Linked DNA regions of Rhinolophus ferrumequinum. The main gene of each other region encodes a partner of the protein of the gene in region 3 in a complex. Links are inferred from orthologs where the notes say so. Each region holds a gene or a part of one and is shown on either strand. Other genes may lie near its edges. The genes, in order: MAPK8IP1, DUSP16 and MAPK8.

What was found.
Region 1: the proteins of MAPK8 (region 3) and MAPK8IP1 are in contact, whole or in part, in a crystal structure (PDB 3VUM), measured with the Homo sapiens proteins. The link is inferred for Rhinolophus ferrumequinum from reciprocal best matches to the Homo sapiens genes MAPK8 and MAPK8IP1. Residues at the interface, in NP_001310257.1 of Homo sapiens: Lys83, Asp112, Ala113, Gln117, Val118, Met121, Leu123, Glu126, Arg127, Tyr130, Tyr133, Val159, Lys160, Ser161, Asp162, His286, Val323, Trp324, Asp326, Glu329; in NP_005447.1 of Homo sapiens: Arg157, Pro158, Lys159, Arg160, Pro161, Thr162, Thr163, Leu164, Asn165, Leu166.
Region 2: the proteins of MAPK8 (region 3) and DUSP16 are in contact, whole or in part, in a crystal structure (PDB 4YR8), measured with the Homo sapiens proteins. The link is inferred for Rhinolophus ferrumequinum from reciprocal best matches to the Homo sapiens genes MAPK8 and DUSP16. Residues at the interface, in NP_001310257.1 of Homo sapiens: Arg189, Val196, Ile197, Leu198, Gly199, Asp229, Ile231, Trp234, Gln253, Thr255, Val256, Thr258, Tyr259, Val260, Asn262, Arg263; in NP_085143.1 of Homo sapiens: Phe215, Leu267, Asp268, Tyr271, Lys275, Pro279, Ile281, Ser282, Pro283, Asn284, Phe285, Asn286, Leu288, Gly289, Gln290, Leu292, Asp293.

Annotation. Positions count from the first base shown.
Region 1 is NC_046294.1:14,967,219-14,975,014, reverse strand, and holds the start of MAPK8IP1 (C-Jun-amino-terminal kinase-interacting protein 1), read left to right. Parts: upstream 1-4,460; 5' UTR 4,461-4,657; coding exon 4,658-4,758; intron 4,759-7,796. UniProt on the Homo sapiens protein: The JNK-interacting protein (JIP) group of scaffold proteins selectively mediates JNK signaling by aggregating specific components of the MAPK cascade to form a functional JNK signaling module. Required for JNK activation in response to excitotoxic stress.
Region 2 is NC_046293.1:27,377,354-27,385,209, reverse strand, and holds the start of DUSP16 (dual specificity protein phosphatase 16), read left to right. Parts: upstream 1-4,354; 5' UTR 4,355-5,659; intron 5,660-7,856. UniProt on the Homo sapiens protein: Dual specificity protein phosphatase involved in the inactivation of MAP kinases. Dephosphorylates MAPK10 bound to ARRB2.
Region 3 is NC_046299.1:62,953,294-62,961,384, forward strand, and holds the start of MAPK8 (mitogen-activated protein kinase 8), read left to right. Parts: upstream 1-4,756; 5' UTR 4,757-4,924; intron 4,925-6,380; exon of another isoform or gene 6,381-6,396; intron 6,397-8,091. UniProt on the Homo sapiens protein: Serine/threonine-protein kinase involved in various processes such as cell proliferation, differentiation, migration, transformation and programmed cell death.

The DNA.
Region 1 (7,796 bases), on a different chromosome or scaffold from region 3:
TGTGCCTATTAGGGTGTGCATGCATCTGTTTACACTCTTGTGATTCTGAATGCTGCCTAGGCCGGAGAAGTCCTGTAGCAGCTTCACCTCAGCGTTCAGACACCAGGCTAGAGGTTATGGCCCAGGCTAAAGGTGGTAGGGCCCTCGCTGGGATTCTGGCATCTGCCCCTCCCCCAGCCCTCCCTGCCTCCCTCTTATCAGACGGAGGAGCAGGAGGGCAGCATTTCTGGCTCCTGTCCAGAGGATTCTAAAGGCAGCCAGAGCCCTTCTGAGTTCCTCCTGACCCTGGAGGCTGAGCAGGCTGGAGTGGACGGATGCTATCCAGACACAGTCACCTGGCCTGGCTTCTTTCCTATTTAAAAATTCCCTGCCATTGGGTCGACCAGACCCTTCCTTAGGCATCTGGATCAGAACATGAGGCTGTGGACAGATCTGAGAACTTTCCACCACGTACGGAAGTACACCAGTACCTGTATACACGGTACTGTAGAAGATAGCTTAGGAAGTACAGCCACCTTTTCGGGCTTAAAACCTAAGGTTGGGAATAAAATCCCAGTTCCTACTGTTCATTCCGCAGAATCTGAGGGCCAGCCTCAGAGCTGACTGTGGCAACCCAGTGCCTCCACCAGCAGGAGGCCAGGTTCCTGGCTCTTCTGGCCATACTCCAGGGCACCACAGTGCTGCCATTGAGGTCAGCTGACAGCCAGCCAGGGAGGCCATTCTAGTCTGTTCTGCAGGTGTCCAGAGCCTGCCCAGGAATGTTCAGCGTCCAAGCTGCCATGTCAGCTCTGCCAGTAGCTAGGCACCGAGGACCCAGGCAGGTGGACTCGTGAGGACTGCCAGGGCCAGTTGGGAAAGGTCCAAGTAAAGAACCCCTCCGCACACCAACCCTTCCAGAAGTAGCAGGTGGGAGGTTTGACCCGGAGAGGTCAAGGCCTTACATTCCAGGAGTGGCCTATGCCTCCCACCTCAACCCTCCCACTGTCAAAGGCCCGTGTTGAGAAAGACATAATGAAAAGGACTGTGTGGTCAGCTGCAGAAGTCTTCCTTCCACTGCGGCCTGCACTTGAGCCACAAAGTGTGTGTGTGTGTGTGTGTGTGTGTGTGTGTGCGCGTGCGTGTGTGCTACATGCGCGCGTAGCTGAGAGGCTACTTCCTCTTTGGAGTTTTGTCCTCACATGGAACATTAAGCTGGCCTCAGGGCCTTCTCCTCTACCTCCCTGTGGCCTTTCCTAGTCTTCTAGCTGTTAACTCCCTTGGCCCCAGCCCTGTCCCCCACTGTCCCCTGTCCTCAGACCGGAACCCTGGGGTCAGGCCCCTGTCTCCATCAGCTGTCCAGCACATTGACAGGCTTCTTCCTGAGAGGTCCTCAGGTGTTCTCAGCCAGAGAGCTGCCTTTAGAGTTTAACCGTTGTATGTTTGTCACCCTCACTAGAAATGTCCCGTAATTATGTGTGGGGAGCAGGGCACAGGTGACGGTGTGTATTCGAAGCATTGGGTTGGGGACTTCCTTGTTCCCTTAGCCCCAGCCAGGAGAAAGAGAATTGGGGACTATTGCCAGAAGGGGAGTAGAGCAAGCCTGGAAGGGCTGGTCTGAGAAACTGAGAAGGCCAGAGGGCTCCGGCCAGCGTCAGTGTTCGTTAGCAGCCCCTTCAGACCAGGATGAGTCCCTTACCCTGCCTATTGAGTGGGGATTCTCTTCCCTAAGGTAAAAGCTGGCCAGACCACCTACCCCTGCTTCACCCTCCCTGGCATGCTGGCCCATTCCCAGTGGAATGGAGCGGTCCACTCCTGGAGTTAGGAGGGGCGGGGTGAGGAGAGGGTGCATCCAGTAGCCCAGAGCTCCACCATGGCTTTGTGCCTCCCCTCCCCTGGCCCAGGGGTCTGGGGGCTGCCATAGAGCATTGCCCCAAATCCTGATCCAAGGGCCAGCATGGGTAAGAGATGGTCACAGGCAAAATGCACTTTATACAGAGATTTTCTATTGCTGGGAAGGTGTGTTTCTCCCACAGTTTGTGAATATTCACTTGTTTCATAAATGTCTGATCCTGGATGAGCAAAGCTGTGCTGTCGTCAGTCTTGTGGGAGGTCTGGGGGGTGGGCATCAGTAAGGGTGAGCCTGAATGAAGCCTTAGGCCGGACCCTCTTGCCTCTGCTGGAACCAGGAGCCTCTTGCCCCTCCTGGAGGTCACGGGGGTGAGCGGGGTGGGGAGAGATGGAGGAAGGGGGAGGCTCCTAGGTGAGCATCCGGAGCTCCCCATCTTTGTCAGAGTTGGAGGTCAATCAGCCAGAATTGTATAGCGCATTCCAGGCACTGGAGGAGGGTCATGAGTGCTATTCGGCAGAGACCCAGCCTGTGGCCCACGTAGACCCCCAGGCTGGGGATCAGTCAGGGGCAGGCCTTCTCCGGGCCTTCCATCCATCCTTTACCTCAACTCAGCCACTTAAGCTGCAGCTGTGGTGCGGAAGGGGTCCAAGCCTTCTGGCTCTGGCTAGGTGGTCCAGATGGGACCACAGCCAAGCCCAGGGCCTGGATGCTGACCTTGTCTCATGCCATCTGGCCAGAGAGTGACCCTTCTCTGCGCACAGTGCGTGGGCTTTCCTGTGAAGGTGTCCAGCCTTAGACCACTGGAAGTTAGAGCCTTGTTAGCCGTACCCCAACTTCCTGTGGGAGGGGGCTCAGGCAAGGCCCAAGAATATCACACTCTGCCCTGCATAGAGTGAGAAAGGGGAAAAGGGAGGAACTTGACCCTGGAACTCGTCTCATTCTTGGCTCTGCTTTGAAGCTCCTGGTGGCCCCTTTCCCACCAAGATCTGGTCCCGCCCTTCCCTTTCTCCTTTCTCCGGGCTGCTCTCTAATGTGGCTTTGGCTTGGCCTTAGGAGAGCTGAGATACCTTTGTTCTTGAGCAAAAGGTCCTGGAGGATGGAGTTGTCCCCCCCACACACACACACCCCTGACCTGAGGACACTCCCTAGTTAAGACAAACACACTCTCCACACTAAGGTACAATTATTAGCCACTATGGCAGGACTGCTTTCCTGGGAATCCAGGCACCATAACAGCAGGTGGTTACTGTTCAGGCGTAGTGAAAGGAGACTGAGCCAAGATAGCAGGGAAGATACAGTGGCCACCCGTCTAGGCAGGGAGAAGAAAGGCAGCCAAGGCCTTTGGCTCTAGGTATTGGGACGTTCTCATGGCTGGGGCTGGGGGTTGTTCACTGCAGACCTGCTACCTGCAGCTCCTTTCCATATGCTACACTGAAGGTAAAGGGGGTGGCTTGACCAGCTGGCAGTCCAGCTTTGCAAATAAGGTTCCATAAGCTGTGAAGCAGTTTGCTCTGCTGCTGCTTCAGAGAGAGGTGAAGGGCAGGACCTGTGTGATTCTCCCAGGTGGCCAGAAAAGCCAGTGATGTTTGGTCAGAGGCTCTATGACCCACCAAAGCTGGGGCCCTAACCTTGACCAGCAGCCTGCATGTCCAGCAGTCCAGGCTTTCAAAGAACTCACAGGCTTAGCCTTCTTAGGGAAGAGAAGGCCAGGAAGAAACCACAGCTGGGGCAGAAGGAAAGGCCCTGTCTTAGAATATGAGAGGCCAGCTCTGGATGTCTGGGTGCACGTTTCCTCTTCAGGAAATGCAGTTGAGGGATAAGTGAGAAGAGGGACAAATCTGGGAAAGTCTTGACATGAAAAAGGAGAAGCTCAGAAACAGAAGCCAAGAGGAAGGGTTCAGTTAACCATTAATAGCTGTTTAGGGCTGAAGCAGGGCTTGAGTCAATCTTTAGAGAGGAGACGCTCTAGGGATAGTCCTTGGAAGGGTCCCCTCAAGGTAATGGGACTGGACGGGGTGAACCTGGATCCCAGCAGGAGATGGAGTGTTCTCAGCGTCCGGTGACAATACATTTGTGATACGTTTCAACCTCACACCAACCATGTGAGGGACCATTATTGTCCCTATTTCACAGGTGAGAAAACCAAACCTTAGGACGGGTACATCATAACGCAAAGCCACACCAACTGACTCCAAACCTGTCAGGCTGGGGTGTCCCACAGATCCCAGTGTCTTTCGAGGAGCCCACTGCCAACCCCCTTTCCCTTTCTATGCCAGCCTCCACGACCTTCCCCTTCCTGTCCGCCTTCTTAGTCTGCTGAGGAGGGCCAACTAAGGGCCCGCCATTAGTTACCTGACACCCAGGTGCTAAGCCCACGCCAACTGGCAGAGCTCGCACGGCCACATGGGGGGGGGGGCTTGGGAGGGCTTTGCGGGAGGGGCGAGGGGAGAGGAGTCAGTGTAAGAGTTAGGGCAGGGCTGGGCCGGACCCAGGGGCGGCAGGGGCCGCGACTTCAGTACCTCGGAGAGCGCCGAGGGGCGGGGCACGCGGGCCCGGGGGCGGGGCGAGGGCGGGGCGCACGAGACCCCTAGGCAGGGCCCGGGGGCGCGCGCGGTGGCGCTCGCGCCAGTCCCGAGAGCGGTGTGCGGTCCGGAGCCGCGCGCTGCCCTGCGCAGGTGCGCCCGCCGCGCCCGCCCAGCAGGATCCCCGCGGCGGCGGCGGCGGAGGCCTCTTGCTACGCCCCCACCTCCTTCCCCTCGGCCGCCTCCGCCGCCTTCGCCGCTGCCTCCGCACCGCGCTCCGCCCGGATGGCCAGGGCTGTGCGCGAGAATGGCGGAGCGAGAGAGCGGCGGCCTGGGCGGGGGGGCCGCGTCCCCGCCTGCCGCCTCCCCGTTCCTGGGGCTGCACATAGCGTCGCCGCCCAATTTCAGGTGAGAATCCCCGGCCGCGGTGCCCCGCCCTTTAGCCGGGACTGATCTGCTCAGGCTCCCTCTCCCCACAGCCTGCAACACACACACACACACACACCACCCCCCCAGACCCCGGGAACGAGGGGACAGCCTGGATGGAGATGGAGTCTCTTCCCTGGACGGAGCCCCCAGAACCTCCCTCAGCTTCAAGTCTAAACTGATAGCCTCTGCATATCCGTGGTGCGGTTCCCTCCGCCATTCCATGACCTAGGCTAGGAGACTCTGAGCTGCAATTGGAGGAGGGCTGCAATCTGGGTTGAGATCCCAAAGGAGGCAGGTAGGCTGGCTTTGCCTGTGCCCAGTCCGAAGGCTTCTGAATAGAAATGGGTGCCAGTTTCTTGGGGCAACGGACAACCTTGGTGCAGGAAGGAGGGAGTCATGGGCCTTGCCTGACCAGAGGGGCCTAACTCCCAGACCTGGATTTGGACAAGTCCTGACCTTGTCAGATGTGTGCAGGTGCAGGAGGTTCAGACTCAACCCAGAGATTCTAGACGTGGCTGTGGGACGGGGTGTCTGGTTTGGACACCCAGAAGTAACCAGGAATATTGGGGGGGGTCCCTGCAGGAGTAGTTCCCAGGACCCTAATCTGAGCTTCCCTTCACCCCTCTCCCTGCCTCCTAGCTGGGGTTAGGCAATTGGGAGGTGAATTTCAGAGAAGTGGACAGTAGGTGTTGTGGGGAAGGGTTGATGTCCCTTCCTCAGAATCCTGGCCCCAGGTGGAAGGAAGAGGAGGTGTAACTGCTCCAGAGCCTTGGAAGAAGTAGGCCTCGATGTACCCCATTGTTTCTCCATCTAATGAGCTGGCGCCCTCCCGTCTCCTGGGGCCCCCACCTCAGCCAGGCCCCAGCTGGTCTCTGGCGCCAGCCCCTCTTCTGACCAAGAGGTTGCTGGTTCCCTGGTCCTCAGGTGGGCAGGGACCTTTGTGGGTCTCTAATGGCATCATCAGGATTAGAAACCTCCCCTGAGGCCCTGAGCTGAGCCCGGAAAACACCAGAAGGAGGGGACCAGATGGAGGAGGTTTGAATGCTGGGGCCTCTGTGGTTAGTGCCTGAGTAAGAAGCCTGAGGTCTGAGAGTGACTCCACTTGGCATCACACACTGCCTCTGTGCAAACACTGCCTTCCTACCAGGAGGACCCTCTGCAGTGGGAGGGCACTGAGCTTAGAAGGACCTGGGTTCAAATCCTAGCTCCACCACTTTCTAGCTGCATGACCTGGGCAGGGTTTTATCTTCTCTGAGTGCCACATGTTAGGTGAGCTAATGAATATTGATTCCTTAATTTATATCACGTCGGTGCTTACCAAGTGTCAGCCCGCCCTCTATGCTAGCAGGCTTGTGTATAGCTCCTCACTGTTCAAAGCATTTCCCAGTGCCGGCTCACCTAGCCCTCATAACCACCCCGGGTGTGGGGATCAGTCTGCCCATTTTGTAGATGAAGACATTGAGATTCAGGGAGGCAGGTGGCTTGCCCAAGGACCCAGAGGAAGTTAGAGCCTGAGGCTGGACTGGAACCTACAGCTACGGTGCGTGTTCAGTCCATTCTACCTCCAGGCCCTGCCCCTGGCCCGGAGGACAGCTTTACCTCCCCTCACCTGGCTCCTGATCCCCAGGTACCAGTGCTCACAGGCAGGCAGGCAGGTTAGCATGGGCGCTTTAGCGAGAGGAGCTGTCAGGGTGGATACCAGCCAGTGAGTGTGTCCAGTCCTGGCCCAGGTGGGCAAGGGTGGCAGCACACCAAGGCTGAGGCGTGGGCCAGCCCTCCGGGACATGGTGGCCTGGCTGTGAAGACAAAGCCCACTCGTGGGAATAATAAGAGCAGTGTCTCCAGCCCTACGTGGCCGCCCCCGCTGCCCTTTCCCTTGTCCAGCCTCTCAGAGCCCTTGGCCCAGTTTGGTTTAACCCTGGGTAGTTACTGCTCTCTTGTGGCTCTTTGGTGGGGTCGTGGATCCAGCTGGCCTGGGTTTGATTCCTGGCTTAGCCTTCTTAGCTGTGTGCCCCAAGACTGGGCACTCGACCCCCGAGCCTCTGTTTCTTCTCCATAATGCCAGCTTTGGCCGCTGTGCAGGACGGTCCTTAGACTTGGATGAGACAACACATGTTGAGTGTTCCAAGAGCTGTGGAGCGCTGCCTTCATGCAGTTGTTGTTATTGTTGTTGTTGTTCTTATTGTTACTGTGTGTGTTACACATGCCCCAGCACCACTGTCAGCTTCTCAAAGGCGTAAGGAGTTAATATCTAAACTTTGGTTTGCCCAATGCCCAGCACAGAGTAGGTGCTCAGTAATGCCTTATTGGTTTACTATTTAATTAAGCTTAAAATTGGGCACCACCCTCCTAGAGTACAGAGAATACAGTGCATTGCCAGAGAGCCCAGTGGTACGCCCTGACACGTGGGAGCGGCTCACTTTGCCCAGACACCATTCTGAGCACTTTCTGTGCAAGAGTTCCTACCAGGACTATATAAACAGAGTATTATTCTTATTGTAAGCCCACTTAGCAGATGAAGAAACGGAGGCATAAAGAGGTTAGATAAGTAGCAGAGCTGGGTTGGAACCCAGGCAGTCTGAGTTCAGAGAGTGCCCTGGAATATTGGGAGAGAGGTGAGGTGGTGGAGGGGGTGAGCACGATGTGGACCTGCAAGGGTGGGGAACGTTTGTTTGTGGATAGTTGGTTTAAATAATATGTGTCCTTCTTTGTTCTGATTATAGAAATGCCCCAACCAGTTACTAATAGTTGCCTGTGGATATGGTATGGGGGAGGGGTTTTCACTTACTGTACATACTTCTGTACTCTTATTTCTACAATAAGTATAGGTTACTTCTGTAACTGACAAAATAATTTTGAAATTTTAGTATTAAACTGATACATGTTCATTACAGGCATATCTCATTTTATTGCACTTCACAGATGTTGCGTTTTTTACAAATTGAAGGTAAGACCCTCCACTAGCAAAAAGATTACAGCCCACTGAAGGCTCAGATGATGGTTAGCATTTTCTAGCA
Region 2 (7,856 bases), on a different chromosome or scaffold from region 3:
AGATTTTCGATTGCATGACACCCCTAACCCCCAAGTTAATCAAGAGCAAACTATAGTTATACTTATTAATCTTTTCTTTATGTCTTCTGGATTTTATTTCATATTTAGAAAAAGCCTTTTCCATGACAAAATTATACAAAAATACATTGTTTTATTCTAGTAATTTATGATTTGATTTTTATATTTAAGTCTTTTGTCTACCTTAAATTTAAGTCTTTTGTCAGATTTATTTTTGATGTGCAGAGAAAAATAGAGCTCTACTTCTATTTTTTTCTAAAAGACTAACCACTTATCCCAACACTATTTATTCAATATTTTTTTTTACTGACTTGGAATGCTCCTTTAAACTTATTTTGTTTGTACTTGGGCCCATTTCTGGATGGTCCACCTTTTCCCATTGATCTATCTATTTTAGTACTATACCAAATGTTTTAATTAGTGTAGCTTTAGAAAACATTTAAAAAATCTAATGGCTTTAGATTTTTATCAGACAGTGAAAATACTCCTAATGATATTATAATGATGAATATATGTCCAAACTCATAGAAAGTACAGTACCAAGAGTGGACTCTCAGGTAAAGTATAGACATTAGGTGATTATGATGTTTAATGTAGGTTCATCCTTGGTGAAAAGAAAAAAAAGTACCATTCTAGTGAGTAATGTTCATCATGGGGGAGGCTGTGTGTATGTGGGGGTGGGGACATATGGGAAACCTCTGTACCTCCCTTTCAATTTTATTGTAAATTTAAAACCACTCTAGAAAAATAAAGTCTTTAAAAAATAAAATTCAAATTTAAAAAATCCAACGGAACTAATTTCCTTTCATAATTCTGTTCTCATGTTTATATTTCCAGATGGTCTATACTCAACTGTCAATAAAAAATATAATTGTATGCTCTGTTTGTACAGGGTAACAATGGCTGGTAAGATAATTTCGTGATTCCTAATACCCAGTATGGTTTTTATTATTGTTTTCATTTCTAATATTGTAGCGTAAACAACATTGATCATATCTATTTTTTTTCTGATTTGTTCATATGTATTCCTTCCCCAAATTAAACTTTTGGCTGAAAACTACTTGAGAATGCACCAGTGTTTACCATACTGAACCCTCTAAAATGCACAAAAACAGGCAGTGCCTATTGAAGATTGGAAACACGAGGCCTGTGCTAGAATATGGATAAAAAAAGCTCATGTTCATCATGCTTCTGATCCCACACTCCCAGTAAGTACAGGGTTCCAGAATCAGTCTTTGTTCACTATCTTTTTCTCCTTACCACATATCTCTCATCCATGTAGTTAGTTAGAGATGCAACTTTTCAGTCTTGGAAAAATACAGATTTATCAAAAAGCACTAAGGAAACATGTGGAATCATAGTAACTACAGTCACTGTCACAAAAGTCTAACCTTTATGTGGTTTCCCATAGGCTCAATCCTCCCTCTGACCGTGCCTCCCGCTTCTTGAAGTCCACAGGCATTCTGAAGTTTTCTTGCAACATCTGTGAGTCACAGGTCAGGGATTCAGAAAAGAAGATCCATAAAGCTCAGGAGCTACAACCAGAAGGAAATGACCAATGGCCTGTTGGTAAGCTCTGTCCCTCCTCCTCATCTGAACACCACCATCCTGCTCCCTGCCCCAACCCCCAAGATCTGAAAGTTCAAAGGTAGCATTGCCTCTATAGGACCTGCCCAGGGAATTTCTTAGTTAGGCTCCCAACTTCTAACTCTCCATTCACCTGGAATCTTCTGATGGTTGCTATTTTCACCACCATCCACAGAAAAACTGGGTAAACAGGAACTGATAGATTTCCACGTGAAAAACAATAAGAAATGGCTTTGACTGGTTTATGTGACCATGAGCACAGCCTAACACCAGTTGTCTGGTGAAGTCATGCGCTTTTCCTTTGATGACCTCCCGCCTGGGTGCCTTCGATAGACTTTCTGAATTGGGCTAGAGACTAGACTAAATGATCTTTGAATTGGGGTGTGTATGAATCATGGAAAGCTTCCCCAAGGAGGTGGCAGCTGAGGCAACCTAGAATGGGATTCAAATAGGCACATAAGGGGGAGGAGAAGAGAAAATAGCATTCCAGGTAGAGGGAAGAGTATACACAAAGGCATGGAGATATGATATAGCACAGCAGGACCTACAAATAATTCATTACTGAGATATCACTGGAGTATTAAATACCCGGAGTGGCACGGATGATGTTGGAGAAGTAGGGAGTGGCCGGGTCCTGGGGGTGCTGGTGTACCATGAGCAAAAGTTTGGGTTTCATCTTACAGACATTTGAAGGGTTTTTAAGCAGATGAATGACATATGGTAAATCATGATGACCTCACCAAAAAGAATATAAGGCAATTTTGAAATTAACCTAATCAATGAAAGCTGGTGTGATTCTTGTCATTGATATGCTCGAGGATCATCATACAGATTCTAAGATTGACAAAAAGAAGTCTCCACTGACCTATCTTCTTACACTGGGTTATGACATAGTTGGATTGACATATTAGAAAGATCACCCTGGTGGTGTTGCAGGAAATCATTTTAAGGGTATGGAGACTGGAAGTAGGGAAGTAAGTAAAAGCATTATTGGAATTGCCTAGGTGAGCAATGACAGAGGCTTGAACTAGGGCAGTAAGTAGAGACATCTGTTGAAGAAAAAACTCAGCAGATTTGTTTGAAGAGATAATGGAGCAGAATGTGGCAGCAATGAAAATGTATCTCTCAGAAAGGATTACAGCTGATAATCCCAGTCTCTGTGCTCTGAAATCCGTCACTACTCCTTGCTACGGTCATGCCTCCCCCAGTCTGCTTCATGACGAAGTGTGGGAAGGATACTAAGGCAGGCCCACCTCTGGGAAACGTGGGACTGCTCGGATGAGCAACTTCAGCTCCAAGATGTTTCATCAGCTTTGCTGAACTTTCTCAGAACTGCACTACAATTAAAGATTCTTTCACTCAACCAACCTTCCAACCAACCCTTCCTCCCTTCCTTCCTTTCTTCTATGATTTGTAAGGATCAGACCTACATCATGGTCTGGCGGCTTTCCCCGAGAACCGGGGGACTAAACTTATGGTGGGTCAGCTTTTGGGCTCTGGAGTCACAATAACCTGGGTGTGAATCTGGCCCCACCATTCCTAGATATAAGAGTGCAAGCAAGGAATTTAATTTCTTAAAAGTGCCAGTCTTCTCATCTGTAAAATCATAATAGTTCTTGTGAGGATTAAATTAGTCAGGCTTATCAAGTATCTTAGCACAGTATCTGGCACATAGTAAGTGCCTGATAAATGTTAGCCATTCTTATTATTAGATGTGGGGGATGAAGGAGAGGAAGAAGTCAGAGGTAACGCCTAGGTTTCTGGCTATTTACAATATATAAAGTCATCACAAATAATTCACTCAAGTTGGTTCTCCTTTTGCATACAGCACGTATCTTTTTGAGTACAAAAGAGATTAGGACATCCTTCCTTTCTTTCCTCCCCTCTCTTAAATCTCTTGAGTCCTCTAGCTCTCATGGCTAAAGGAAAATAAACAATTAAATGGTACATCAAAATGGACATAAAAAAACCTCTCGATTCTGCAATTTAGAGGGTGGCCTTTCGCCACATTACCCCAGGCACCAAGTTCCGCGGATGAGACAAGCTCTGAGAATATTCTTCAGCCCATTCTAGAGCTCCTGCATATATACCAAGGCGGAAAAGTTAGCCACCTCCCTTAAGGATCTGAAAAACTAGGCCAGGGAATTCCAAATTAAATGCTCTTTATAGTTTTATTTAGAACAGGTGAGCTATTAAATAGGCGCTAGCAAGCACACTGCAAAGTGCACATTAGCTACGATCTTCCCCTTCCCCAGCACACTTAAAAAGCTTAAGACAAACACAATTCAAATTATAGACTGGAATATGAAGTTAAAACTAGCAAAATGGAATGAAAGGGAAAATGTAAACCCCTAAACAAAATTTTAGGAAATGAATGGTATAAACCTGGGATGGGGAAAATGCAGCTGAGCAGTGGTTTGTATGAAAAATGCCATGGGTTTTAGGTTAACCATCCTCTCCATGGAGCCAACAGTGTAATTTTGGTTGTAACGAAATGAGTGTACTCGTCAGCGGTGTACTAGAAGTATAATAACGGGAAACTTCTGTTTCCTCATCTGTAATATTAGGGGCTGGATTAGATGACTTCCAAGTACCATCTAGGCCTATGATTTTGTAAGTGCATGACTAGGACTCGAAAGCGCTAAACCCGAATTCCTACATTTTCAGGACCTGACCATAGAAAAGATACATAGGCTTGATGAACACAGACAATCCATTTTAATCTGGTTGACTTTACAGCTTAAATGATCTTGGGGACGGCGGATCTTCCCATGTGCTGAAGTGACCCACAGATACCTCCCCAGATGAGTGTGGCAATGGAACAAACTTACGTACATCTATTTCGCACCATGTCAAGCTTTACACAAAACTGTTTCTCTTGAGGTGGCAAGCTTGAGCAACCAGTTTTTCCTGAAGTTTGCCTGATACCCATGTTTACGGTGAGCTGTTCTGTCGTTCTTCTCTCTTGCCATAGCCATGGAGGGGCCCTCCCAAGTCAACTAGCTGACTATTGACATTGGTAATCAAGGATTTCAGAGGCAGAGATCAAGGTCAACATAGGGCAATGACAGAAAGGACTAGAGAGCCCTAGTTCACGGGGCCCCCTTACTAGGCTCTGCTGTACATTGGCTGAGGGAGGGCATGGATCCAAGTTTTAGCCACAGCATAACAGGCAGTCTGTGATGGTTTTGTGGGTAACCAGCGAGCTTCCTCCCTCCATCAGTGCTGCTACCATTCTCTTCTGGATACCTAAGCTGGCATTTTCAGGCATTTTAAACATCTTCTGAGAAAGAGACAGTAAGAGACCAATCACGGGAAAAGCAAAACTTAAATAAAAATAGAATTCCAAATATTTCAGCTGGAATCTCTTTGTCTAGCTAAAAGAGATTTAGAGAGTGGATCAGAAAGCCTGTGTGTCCTTGTTCTGCAGTAACCAGGTGTATGTATGCCCTTGGGTAAGTCACTCAACAACCCTGGGCCCGTTTCCTCACTTGTAAAATGAGGAAGAACCCCATTCAGCTACTTTTGAGTGTCGGAGTCCCTTTAGACTCCCCTGGTTTATGGAGGAGCCCTGTCCTAGGAACAAATTATATACTGTGCAGGAAAGGAATTGTATATAGACTGGGAGGTGATCTCCATCAAGCCAGTTAGAAGTACCCTAGAACCTTAAAAGGATGTTTGTGAAGAGCAATAAGCAAGAACTGAAATCACAGGACTCCCAGGTTCCTGCCCCAGGTTAGTCCCTCCCAGGTACTGGCTGAGTTGTTCTGTGTCTCATTCTTAACTCGGTCAGGCAGAAGAGGTCACAGAGGGTGGGGCTATGACCAATGGATCACATTCTCAATGTTCTGGAAAAAGGACAGAGGTAGCAGAAAGGCCAGAAGAGGAGTTTCCGCTGCACATTAGCCTCAATTGACTACCCCATTCTCTTTCCAGATTGGAAAGGACATGCCAGCCAGGTAGCTTTGGCATCCCCGGCTCCTCAAGTACCTTTATCACCTCAGCAGCACAGCCACCAACTTGGGAAGGAAACCAAGATCTTGGACCAAAAGGGGTAAGTCCAAGAGATGCTAAGTTCGATGGGCTTTTGGAGATTTTTGTGGGATTCATAGACACTTATATTTTCAGGGGAGAGGTCTTCCTTTTTTTTTTTTTTTTTTTAACTGTGGTACAATATACATGAGTTTTACGATTGCGACAATTTTTAAATATACAGTTCAGTGGAGAAGTATTTTTTGATTACTTCAGTTCTCTCCCTATCCTGATGTAGAGTGTGTGTTCCCTGCTACCAAGATTCTTGATTATTCTGTAGGGTTCAGACTGTAGGGTCTGAACGGTTAAGCTGGGTTTGACTTCTGCAATAGAACATCCAAAAATACCAGAAACAGGACAGGAAATTATTCAGTGGTCATTTCTCCTTTGATATGGGTGATATCACACTTGCTGCTCTGTCTCTTTAATTTTTATCTCTGCCTTGGCCCTAACCACTTGTCCAGACCTGTGGCTTGCCCTTGGGCCTGCTTTCTTTTGTTACACTGCATTTTTGTTCTCTGATGACTCCTGGCTCATTCTCACAGTGAGAAAATTATTTTCCCTGGGATGGGACTAGTCTGCCCCTTCAGTGATCCTGCAGAGCTTCTTTGTCAGATAGAACTGACAGCCTCTGCTCTCTACCTGAGCTCCGATCCCACACCCCTGACCGTGTGCTGCCCATTTCCTCTGGAATGTGCCAGTCATTGTTCTGCCAAACAGATTGCAACATGTCCAAAAGCAACCTTCATTTTTTTGCCACAAACCAGCTGCTCTTATAACCTTTGAGTCCCTTACTAGTCCATTAAGTCATTTGGAGGAGAAGCAAAGTCTGCTTTGATTTAATCTCCTTTTAGTACCCTTAGCCATTCGGTCCCCAAGAACAATCAGATTTTCCTTCAAATACTGGTCATTGTTCCCGCCCCTCCCTCCCACCCTCATGCTCACCTCAAATATCATCTGGTGCTGTGTCCACTCTTTCCCTGATTGGATTCCCTGTGCCAGGCCGATGCCAGACCTAGACCTACCTTCACTAATCAAGTCACATCTGTTCGAAACCCGGAAGGTCTTCCCCATTCCTATGGTATAGGCTTCTTGCCCTTATTAGGCTCTTAAAGTTTTCCCTAATTTGATCCCATTCTAGAAAATCCATATGCCAGGCAGCTGTATTTTAAGGGGAAGTTTAATGAACTTGGAATTACTGGACCTGCTTTCAGATTCTAGCTTTGTTCTCAGCAGAACCTTGCACAATTTACTGATTCTGGGAGCCTTACATCCCCATTTGCAAAATGGGGATACAAATACCTATATCATGGGAATTTTATGAAGATGTAAAGAGATAAATATGTGTGGAGGCAGGTTAGCATTGTACTCAGAACCCACATTTGAACTGACTCCCTTGGTTCACATCCAGGCTTTTCCACTCAATAACTATGTGACCCGGAGCAAGTTCCTGAACCTCTCTGGGCTTCATCTTTTTCATCTGTAAAGTAGAGATACAACAGTGCATACCTCCTAGGTCTGTAGTGATAATTAAATGAGATACTATATGTAAAGGGCTTAATATATGCCTGGCACACTGGAAGCTGTAATAGGCGTAAGCTATTATTATTATTATTATGTGCAAGAGCCCTATTGCTTGACAGCTAATCAGCACTGAATCATGTTTGCTAAGTTTGTTAATGAATTCATCTTATCCATGTGATCTCATTTCCCACTAATTCTTGCTATGCACATTTTTGTGCCACTCCTCCTCTAGACCACCTTGGCTTTCCATTAAAACCTCATCTACTTTTCTTGTCTTTGGTTATGGTATTTCTCTTTTCTACAATGTCAAAATTTCTCTTCTCTGCCTATCCAAATTCTTCCCAGTGTTTAAGGTCTATCCTAAACCCTGCCTCCATGAAACTTTCCCTCATTACTTCTGTACTTAGTGATTTCTCATTTTTCTGAACCAATTACCATTGATTTAGCATCTGATAACACTCAGATGCTGTTTCCTGTGTATTCATTTTATGTCTTCAACTAGTTTGGAAGATATTCCTGTTTAACATTGTTTCAGAATTCACAGTAAATATGGTGAATATTTAATCTACTAGACTACCTTATCAACCCAGACTATCTCATGGGTTATGCTCAGATTATATTTGGGGTGGAATTTGGAGAAAGGGAAACACATTTCGTTGCTTGAAGGTGAGGAAGGGCCCAGAAATCTAAAAGAA
Region 3 (8,091 bases):
GAGAAGGTGGGACCGCACAAACTGACATCCAATTCACACACTTGGCTCACTGTGCTCTCACAGCAGGTTGGGGCATCAGGACCAGGAAAGCAGAATCTCACCATTGTTTCAGAGGTCTGCAGCCCTGGGAGGGAGACTGGACAGGACTCAAAGAGGCAAGCCAGAGAGAAAACCAGATATCGAGAGCTGAGCTCAGCGTCAGAGATCTTAACCATAAAAGAAAAAAAAATACTACACGGAAATAGAATACCCCTGAGGAGACTAGCCAAGGTACTCGATTTCTCCCAGCTCCAAATAATTCTACAGCTTATAGATCCAAAGGAAGATGTTTAAGAGCAGCGAGTAAATAAATGGTGAGTTGTTTTTTTTGTTTGTTTATTTTAAGGAGGGCCCACAGTGGCCCATGCGGGGATCGAACCGGCAACCTTGGTGTTATCAGCACCATGCTCTAACCAACTGAGCTAACTGGCCACCCCTTCAAAGATTCTTAAGTAGTCCTCAACTGAGATTGAAAGCCATGGATTCAAAACAACATAATTGTGGACATTTTTCTATAACCCCTGTCAACCCAGGTAGAGAAATAGAGGCACTTGGATGGATGTATCTGGGAGCTGGGTGTCCCTGGGCATGTAGAATGTAAAGATGGAGGGCAAGGAAGTTGAGGGTGTTCCTGAGAGGATTGGGGGAGGACTTTGGCAGAGGTTGGGAATTTACAGGGGTTTCCCTGCCAAAGAGTTATTTGTAGAGTTCCAGCCAGTCTAGCATGAGTTCGTTTTATATCTGAAGGGTGAAGGATGAAGCCCTAGAGGTGGAGATGGAGAGGGAGGTGGAGGTGCAGATGGAGATGGATAATCCCTAAAGCTGCCAAGGGAGAGAGACCAGGAATGGGGTGCTGTCTTCTCTCCACCACGGGGCCTGGACAGACCTTCTGCAGTATAGGAATTGCAAATGGCAAAATTCCACTGGGCTGGGAGAAATTCTAGGCTCGAAATTGTAAATGGTGCAGAGAGTCTATGCTAAAAGGTCTGACAGAAAGCCTTCTTCCTAATCTATATTTATTTAAAACAACAACAAGAGTTTTTTTTATCAGTTATAGAACTTCAGCAACTTATTCTTTCCTTCCCACTCAATTCCTTTAGTCTTTTTCTCCAGTGGATAAATATTGAATATCTTTAATATCTGAGTGTGGATGGAGAAAAGACATACTTAAGCTGTGAGAAGTGAATGCAGAACATTAGAATAAAAGAGCCAACAATGAAAATAAGGCCTAAGAGAGAACCTGAACACAAAAGATAGTGAGGGGCAGGTTGTCCTGTCCTGTTTGCTCTGAGATTTTAAAGAACAGAAAATATGCTGAATTTCTTAAGGCACTGGCTCTCAATCTTGGCTGCACATCAAAATCACCTGAGGGGTTTTGGAAAAGCTACAGAATCCTGGGTTCCACCGCAGACCACTGAAGAAGGATCTCCAGAAGTGGAGTCCAGCTGTGGGAGTTGAATTCCCAAGTTAATTTGAACGAGCAGGTCAACTTGAGAGGCACATCCTAGAGCAGTGGCTCTCAAACTTGAGTGCTCATTAGAAATACAGGCATACCTCCTTTTATTGCACTTCACTTTATTGCGATTCACAGGTATTGTGTTTTTTATAAACTGCGGTTAAGACCCTCCGCCAGCAAAAATATTACAAATCACTGTATTGCAGTGATTTGGAACTGAACCCACAGTTCCAGGGCTCCTTAAAATGCAGAGTGCTCTCCCTCACCACCCCAAGTCTTCTAATTCAGATGTCTGAAATGACTCTGAGAATCTGCATTTCCAGCAAGCTCCCAGGTGATGCTGACATTGCTGGTCTGGGACCACAGTTTGAGACCATCTTAGAGGAATAAATGCTGACCATTTTTTTCCCATGAAAACATGCATGTGTACTCAATCTATAGGCTTCACTAGTTGGTTTGTCTCTCTCTTGTGTTTACCTGGAAGCCATGTGTGCATATGGGGGTGAAGGAGAAGGAGGAAGCCCAAACGAAGAAGGGGGTACTACTTATAAGTTCAAATCAGAGAGCCACCCACTTCTACCTTCACATTTTTTTGTTCAAGGTGTGACTGAGGAACTCTGGTCATTTTTGATTCTGTTGTACTCCCGATGAAATAAGCCATCGTTCTTGCAGTTGAAAAGATAATTTACAACATGAGCACTCATCTTTCCTCTACTCATGCAACCAGAGACAGAGCTGCTCTCTCTGAAGTCAGCAGGCTCTGCCTTGAACAAGCCCTAAAGAGCACCTCAGAGTCAGAGGGTGATTAACTGAAGAGCTGAACCTATTCCTCCTATGGATGCAGAAGTAGACTGTAAGGTCATGGTTGGGAAAACAGATGGGTTGACTTGAAAGCAAGGCTGAAGGAGGAGGGTGGTGAAAGTGGGGTCAGAAAGTTAGAGGTGTCCTTGGAGATGCCCTTCAGCAGGCCTTAGTAAGCCCCCCTCCCCGACTCCCCTTCTTTGGAATGAGGTCAAGAAACTAGGAAGTGAAATAAAGTTTCAAATTTTGGTTTCTGCACCCTTGAACAGCTGGGTGTGAGATGCACCTGAGACCTTAGCTAAAGTCTCAACTCCACTGCAATTCAGTGTGTGTGTGGTCTGCAGAGAATGACAAGGGAAGTGCTCTGGACAGGGTGCGACCTCTTCTTGACCATCTCTCAGGGCTCCAGCAGAGAATGGGTTTAAGGGGCCTACAGTGTTCCCTTCCCGCCTTCCCCCATCCCAGCCTCAGAAAGACCCAAGGACCAGCTTTCCCCAAGACAACTCCCCTGGGATAAGAGGCAAATAAACCTGAATTCCTTAGCTCTTCCTCTTTTTCTGAGTCTGCACCCAAAAGGCTCACAGGGAACCATAATAGGTTAACAAGGAACTATGACATGAGAAGGAAGAAGGAGGCCCAGAGCCACATCTGGGTTACAAAAAGCATTTTGCCTTTGCAGAATATCAGAGATGATTACATTCAATCACAAGCAATGAATGTTTTCTGGAATCATACACATGCACACATACATACATAAACACGCAGGATGTCCGTTCTAGATGTAGGTAATTGGGAGATGACAGTAGCAGGCTGAAGCTAACTCAGAAACTCTCCCTGTTGAATGAGAGGCTGTGAGTAGCATTACAGAACTGGGCATAAAACTCAGGAACTCTGTTCTGCAACACCACTCACTTCACAACGACCCTATGATATTGTCTTTTGTCACCTCCAGGTCTTTAACATTGTCAGGTGGGAAGTAGGAAGTACTTGCTGATGCTTCCACCTGGGTGTCCAATTATACCCTCCCACCTCCCCCACACACACTCCTCCAGGAAACTTACACTCATGCTTCTTGTATGCTACCTCTCCCTCTCAACAGAGTCTTTCTATCAGATGTAAAGTATCCTGGCATCTTTTTTCACTGCCTAATTCATCCATTTCCACTGCCTCCGTTTTCTCATGTCCCATTCATTTCTTAGCCCATTCTAATCCACTTCCAGATCTCAGTACACCAGGATTTCAGGCCTCCTTTTTTTTTTTTTTTTCCAGGCCTCCTTTTATATTTGATGTTATTGATCACTCTTTTCTTCTTGACTCTCTTTTTCCTTCTACCTCCCTGGAAGCTCCTTCACAGGTTCATCCTTTTCATTGGCCATTCAATGTTCCATTTATGTTCCACTTCAGAATCACTGGAAACAGGCCAGCCCAACATGACATGGGAGAAGATACTCTCTGAATTCACTAATTTATTCAACAAATATTTACGTTCATTATTTATTCATCATTAAAATAACACACTTTTTTCTGATTATTAACATAAACTGTTCCATTTGGAAACCATGAAAAAAATATCCAAAGTTTAAAAGAGAACCAATTCACCTTTTATTCCACAGTTCAATGATGAACTACTGTTAAAATAATTTGGCAGATTTCCTTCTAGGTTTTTTCTATGTATACATAGTATATAAGTAGGATAATTTTATGAATATAGACTTGTTTCTTTCTCTTAATCTATTATGAACAGTTTCTTTTTAGCAATTCCTTGAACACATCACATTTACATGGCTAAAATGCATTCTATTGCATGGGTGTGTGTCATTTGAACAGATTTCCACCCATTGTTGGATATTTAAAAGCTTGTCTGTTATTTCGATAACTAACGTACACTCGCTTTGTGGGGCCCAGAGACAAATAGGGTAGTGCACGGAATCTGGTAGAAGGTGGACTTTAGGAAAATAGGGGGCAGCTTTTTCAGATGGCTGAGGAGAACATTTATTTGCTTGTGGGGTGCTGGGCCCGGGGCAGTTGTCCTTACAATGTAATATATTGTCTGTCAAGGCAATGAGCTCTTCATCTCTTACATGTGTGCCTGCTCCACCAGCCGGTTTGGTCTAAGCACATCTGACCTCCAAATCCTGGGGAGAAGAGCCCCAAAGGATTGGGCTCAGACTAGCGTACCGCCCCAGGCCCGTTGCTGAGCGGCCTGGCCACGCGCCGCCACGTGCCAGGATCAGGGCTCCGCCCCCTACGGTTCCCCGCCACGCCCCTCACTCGACGCTCTCAGAGGCTCTCCGGCAGCTCCTCCTTCAGGCGACCTCCGCTAATCCTCCCGGCCCCCTAGGGTAGCCCCGCCCCCAGACTGCGGGCCCCGCCCCCGCAATCCGGGCCCCGGGGCTGCCCCGCCCCGCGGCTGCTCGCATGGCGCAGGGGCGGTGCCCTGCGCGATGACGTGAGCGGGCGTGCGCGGTGACGGCCCGCGTCCCTGTTACTCAGCGGAGCGGCCGAGGCCGGACGACGCGGCCGGGATCGCAGAGCCGCGAGCAACGCTGGGTAACGGCCGCTGCGACCGCCCGGACGGCACCGGTCCCCGCCGGCGGGCTTTCCTGTCGCCGTTCGGTGCGCTGCCGGGTGAGTGCGGCGGGCGCCGGGGGACCAGGTCGGCCGGCGGCCCCGCCGTGTTTATGTTATTGTGCCGACGCCTTCCTCTCAGCCGTGACCCCCTCCGGGGAGTGGGAGCGGGAGCGCGCGGGGGACGCGCGGCGAGCGGGGGCCGCGCGGGAACAATAGCGGCCGGGGAGGCGGGGCGGGCCAGGGGGCGTGGGGCTGCGGGACCCTGGCGCGCCCTGGCGGTTCGCCCCCGGCTCCGCCGCCCCAGCTCCGCCCGTCTGTCCTCGCGCAGGTCTCGTGTCCACGTCTGGAGGGGAAAAGGAGCGGGGGTGGGTGGCAAGTTCTGAAACACTTCGGCGAAGGTCGGGACCGAGGCGCGTTGGCGGCCCGCCGCGCCCTGGCTGCCTCCGCCGGCGGTGGGCAGTCGCGGAGAGCGTTCAGGTCACCGGGTCCCAACGCCTGCCTGTCCTCCACGGAGACCGTGTTTTGTTTCTCGGTGGTTTCTTTGTGCTAACGTTCAGGGCGAACACAGGCAGCGCCGCCGAGGAAAGGCTGGGGTGGCCTTCAGCTCTGGGCTGCGAGGGGCAGCCCCGGCCCGTGGTTTGAGCGGGAGGTGTCCATCCAGCTCCGCGCGAGCTACGGTGGTCAGCGCGCATTTCTCATGAGGGTCACTCGATGGTGACCTTTTGACTTTTTCATCCCACCCTCTCATCTCTTTGTCTTTCACTTAATGTTTCCAATTATTAGATGGCGGATCCAAGTCCGTTTTAAAGTATTGCAATGAACACTTTTCATTTTAATTTCTGGAAGTTCCCCATCAGATGTTTACTGTGAACTTAATAACATGTTGACTGCATGGTATCAGACAATGTCCAGTGGTTACTATTTTTACCTCTGAAATTCAATGATCTTTCCAGTAGAATTCTGTTCTGTCAGTCCATTGTGTTTTAACAAGTACCTCCTTGTCAATTAGAACATCTGTTTATTTCATTCATTCATTCTATCATTTATTCATTCATTCAGCAACTGTTCAGTCGTGTACCCTGATGAAGAGTTTGAAGGTAAAGAGAGATATCCTTTAAAGATAGAAAATGCTTTGACTGAAATATAGTAGATGTACCTTTAAATAAAGCGATTATATAAGTGATGTGTGTTAAAGAAAGTACTGATACTCTGGGTAATTTTAATACTTTTTAGCAGTAGATGTGGAACTTCTAGTAGCATGTTATATTAGGAAGTAGAGCTAGGTTTGATCTAAATGTACAACAGTTTTTATTCATTTTCAAATTTAATTTTTTAATCTTACAGCTGTATAGCCTTACAGTCATTTTTAATGTTTACCTCAGATTTCCTCGCTGTGGGTTAAGCCTAGGAGGTCAGATGCTGTAAGTGAACGTATTTAGTGCTGTGCCTGACAAAAGCAAGCAGTCAAAATGGGACTTAAGGACAGACCTATGTTGTATCTGTGTCTCCAGCACCCAGCCTGGAATATAGTAAGTGTTCAGTAAAAGTCAGATTGATGAAAAGCTCTTTACAACTGATAATATTTAAAATCAAGCCTTAAAAAATTTTAATTTTCTCTGTAAAGTTTTGGGAGCCTCATGCAAACTATCACTTCCAAATCGCTAAATGATTAGTTCATATATAGGTCAAGACGGTAGTGGCTTTTGAATAACTTCAGTATCAGTTTTGTTTTTATCACTGCTAAACCATTCACTATCCTAAAATAAAACCTTGTCTAAAATGTGTGTATGTATGTGTGTATCTGTGTATATGTAGGGTTTCCAGGTGGGAATTCCCTCCCGTTCTCAGGAATTTTTTTTTGCTTCCCTGGTCCAGAATCCCAAGATATAAACTGGTTTCTGTTCTCCACCATGAATCGGTGACACCGATACTGCCAACCGCCTAGGTTCAAGGAGCCGATTTTCCTGATTTCCCGACCAACTTTTCTCAGAATTCGGGAATGAGAAAGCAAAAAAAATTCCTGAGAACGGGTGGGAATTCCCACCTGGAAACCCTGTGTATATATCGCTCGCGCGTGTGTGTACACACACAAGCGCGCGCACGCGCACGCGCGCGCGCGCACACACACACACACACACACAGTGATATTTCAATAGAGGTCTAAAATGGTTGCATTTATCCTTCTGAGAATATCATTTGAAAAGTTTCTGATGACTCCTTTAAGTGGAAAAGGTAGAACAAAGGAAATAGGTTGCATCAAAATTTTATTAGAAATGTTTAATTTCTAATAACATTTTAGAAATGTTTGTTGGAAATGTTTTATTTTAAATCTTCCTTTATTTTAAATACTATTGGTGGAGCATATGGGCCTAAAACTCAAAATAATATCAGTTTGTCCAAGTTATATCTCTTTTACATTCACTATGTAATAAATTTTAGAATTTGTTTTGGATTTGAAAGAATTAGGAGTGAACTTATTATCTGATGTATGGAACAAATCAAGAAATAAGAAAATTATATTTTATAGAATAAGCGATGAAAATCTTAAGATACGAAACTTTTATTGCTTTTCCTAATTAAGGTATGTCCGATTCCAGTAAGTGTTATTGATACAAATCCTTTGGCAGTAGCTCACTGTCGGGCTCTTTGTCAAACCAGAGCTTTTTTGTTTTGTTTTCTAAATTTTGATTTTAAGACTACCAGCATTATTGAGATATAATTTACATACCATAAAATTTACCCTTTTAGAGTGTGCATCATGGTTTTTAACATATTCATAAAGTTATGCATTGATAACCACTAATTCCGGAACGTTTTCGTCACTCCAAGAAGAAATCCCCGTACTCACTAGCCCTAGTCTCCCATTCCATTCTAAATTATGTTAAAAGGAAGAGATAGCATTAATTCTGTTAGTAAGTACATTCCATTAATGAGATTGAAAATGGTTCACTTTAAGTGTCCTGGCAGAGTAGGAACCCATGTTTCATACTTCTATAGGTCCTGGGAGAAAGGCCACTTGGAAAGGAAATTAAGAATACGTTTTACCAAAATTAATAACATTAGAATCGTAACTATTTGCTCAATGCCTAATATCATGGAAATGACCTTGTGAAGACACTTAATGCTCAGTGAAACAAAGTAATTTGTTGTTAATTTACTAGTCAAACTATCCTAGTGGTAATTAAGAGGTTGTTGAAAGAAGCCAGATTCTTGTAAGTCTCCTT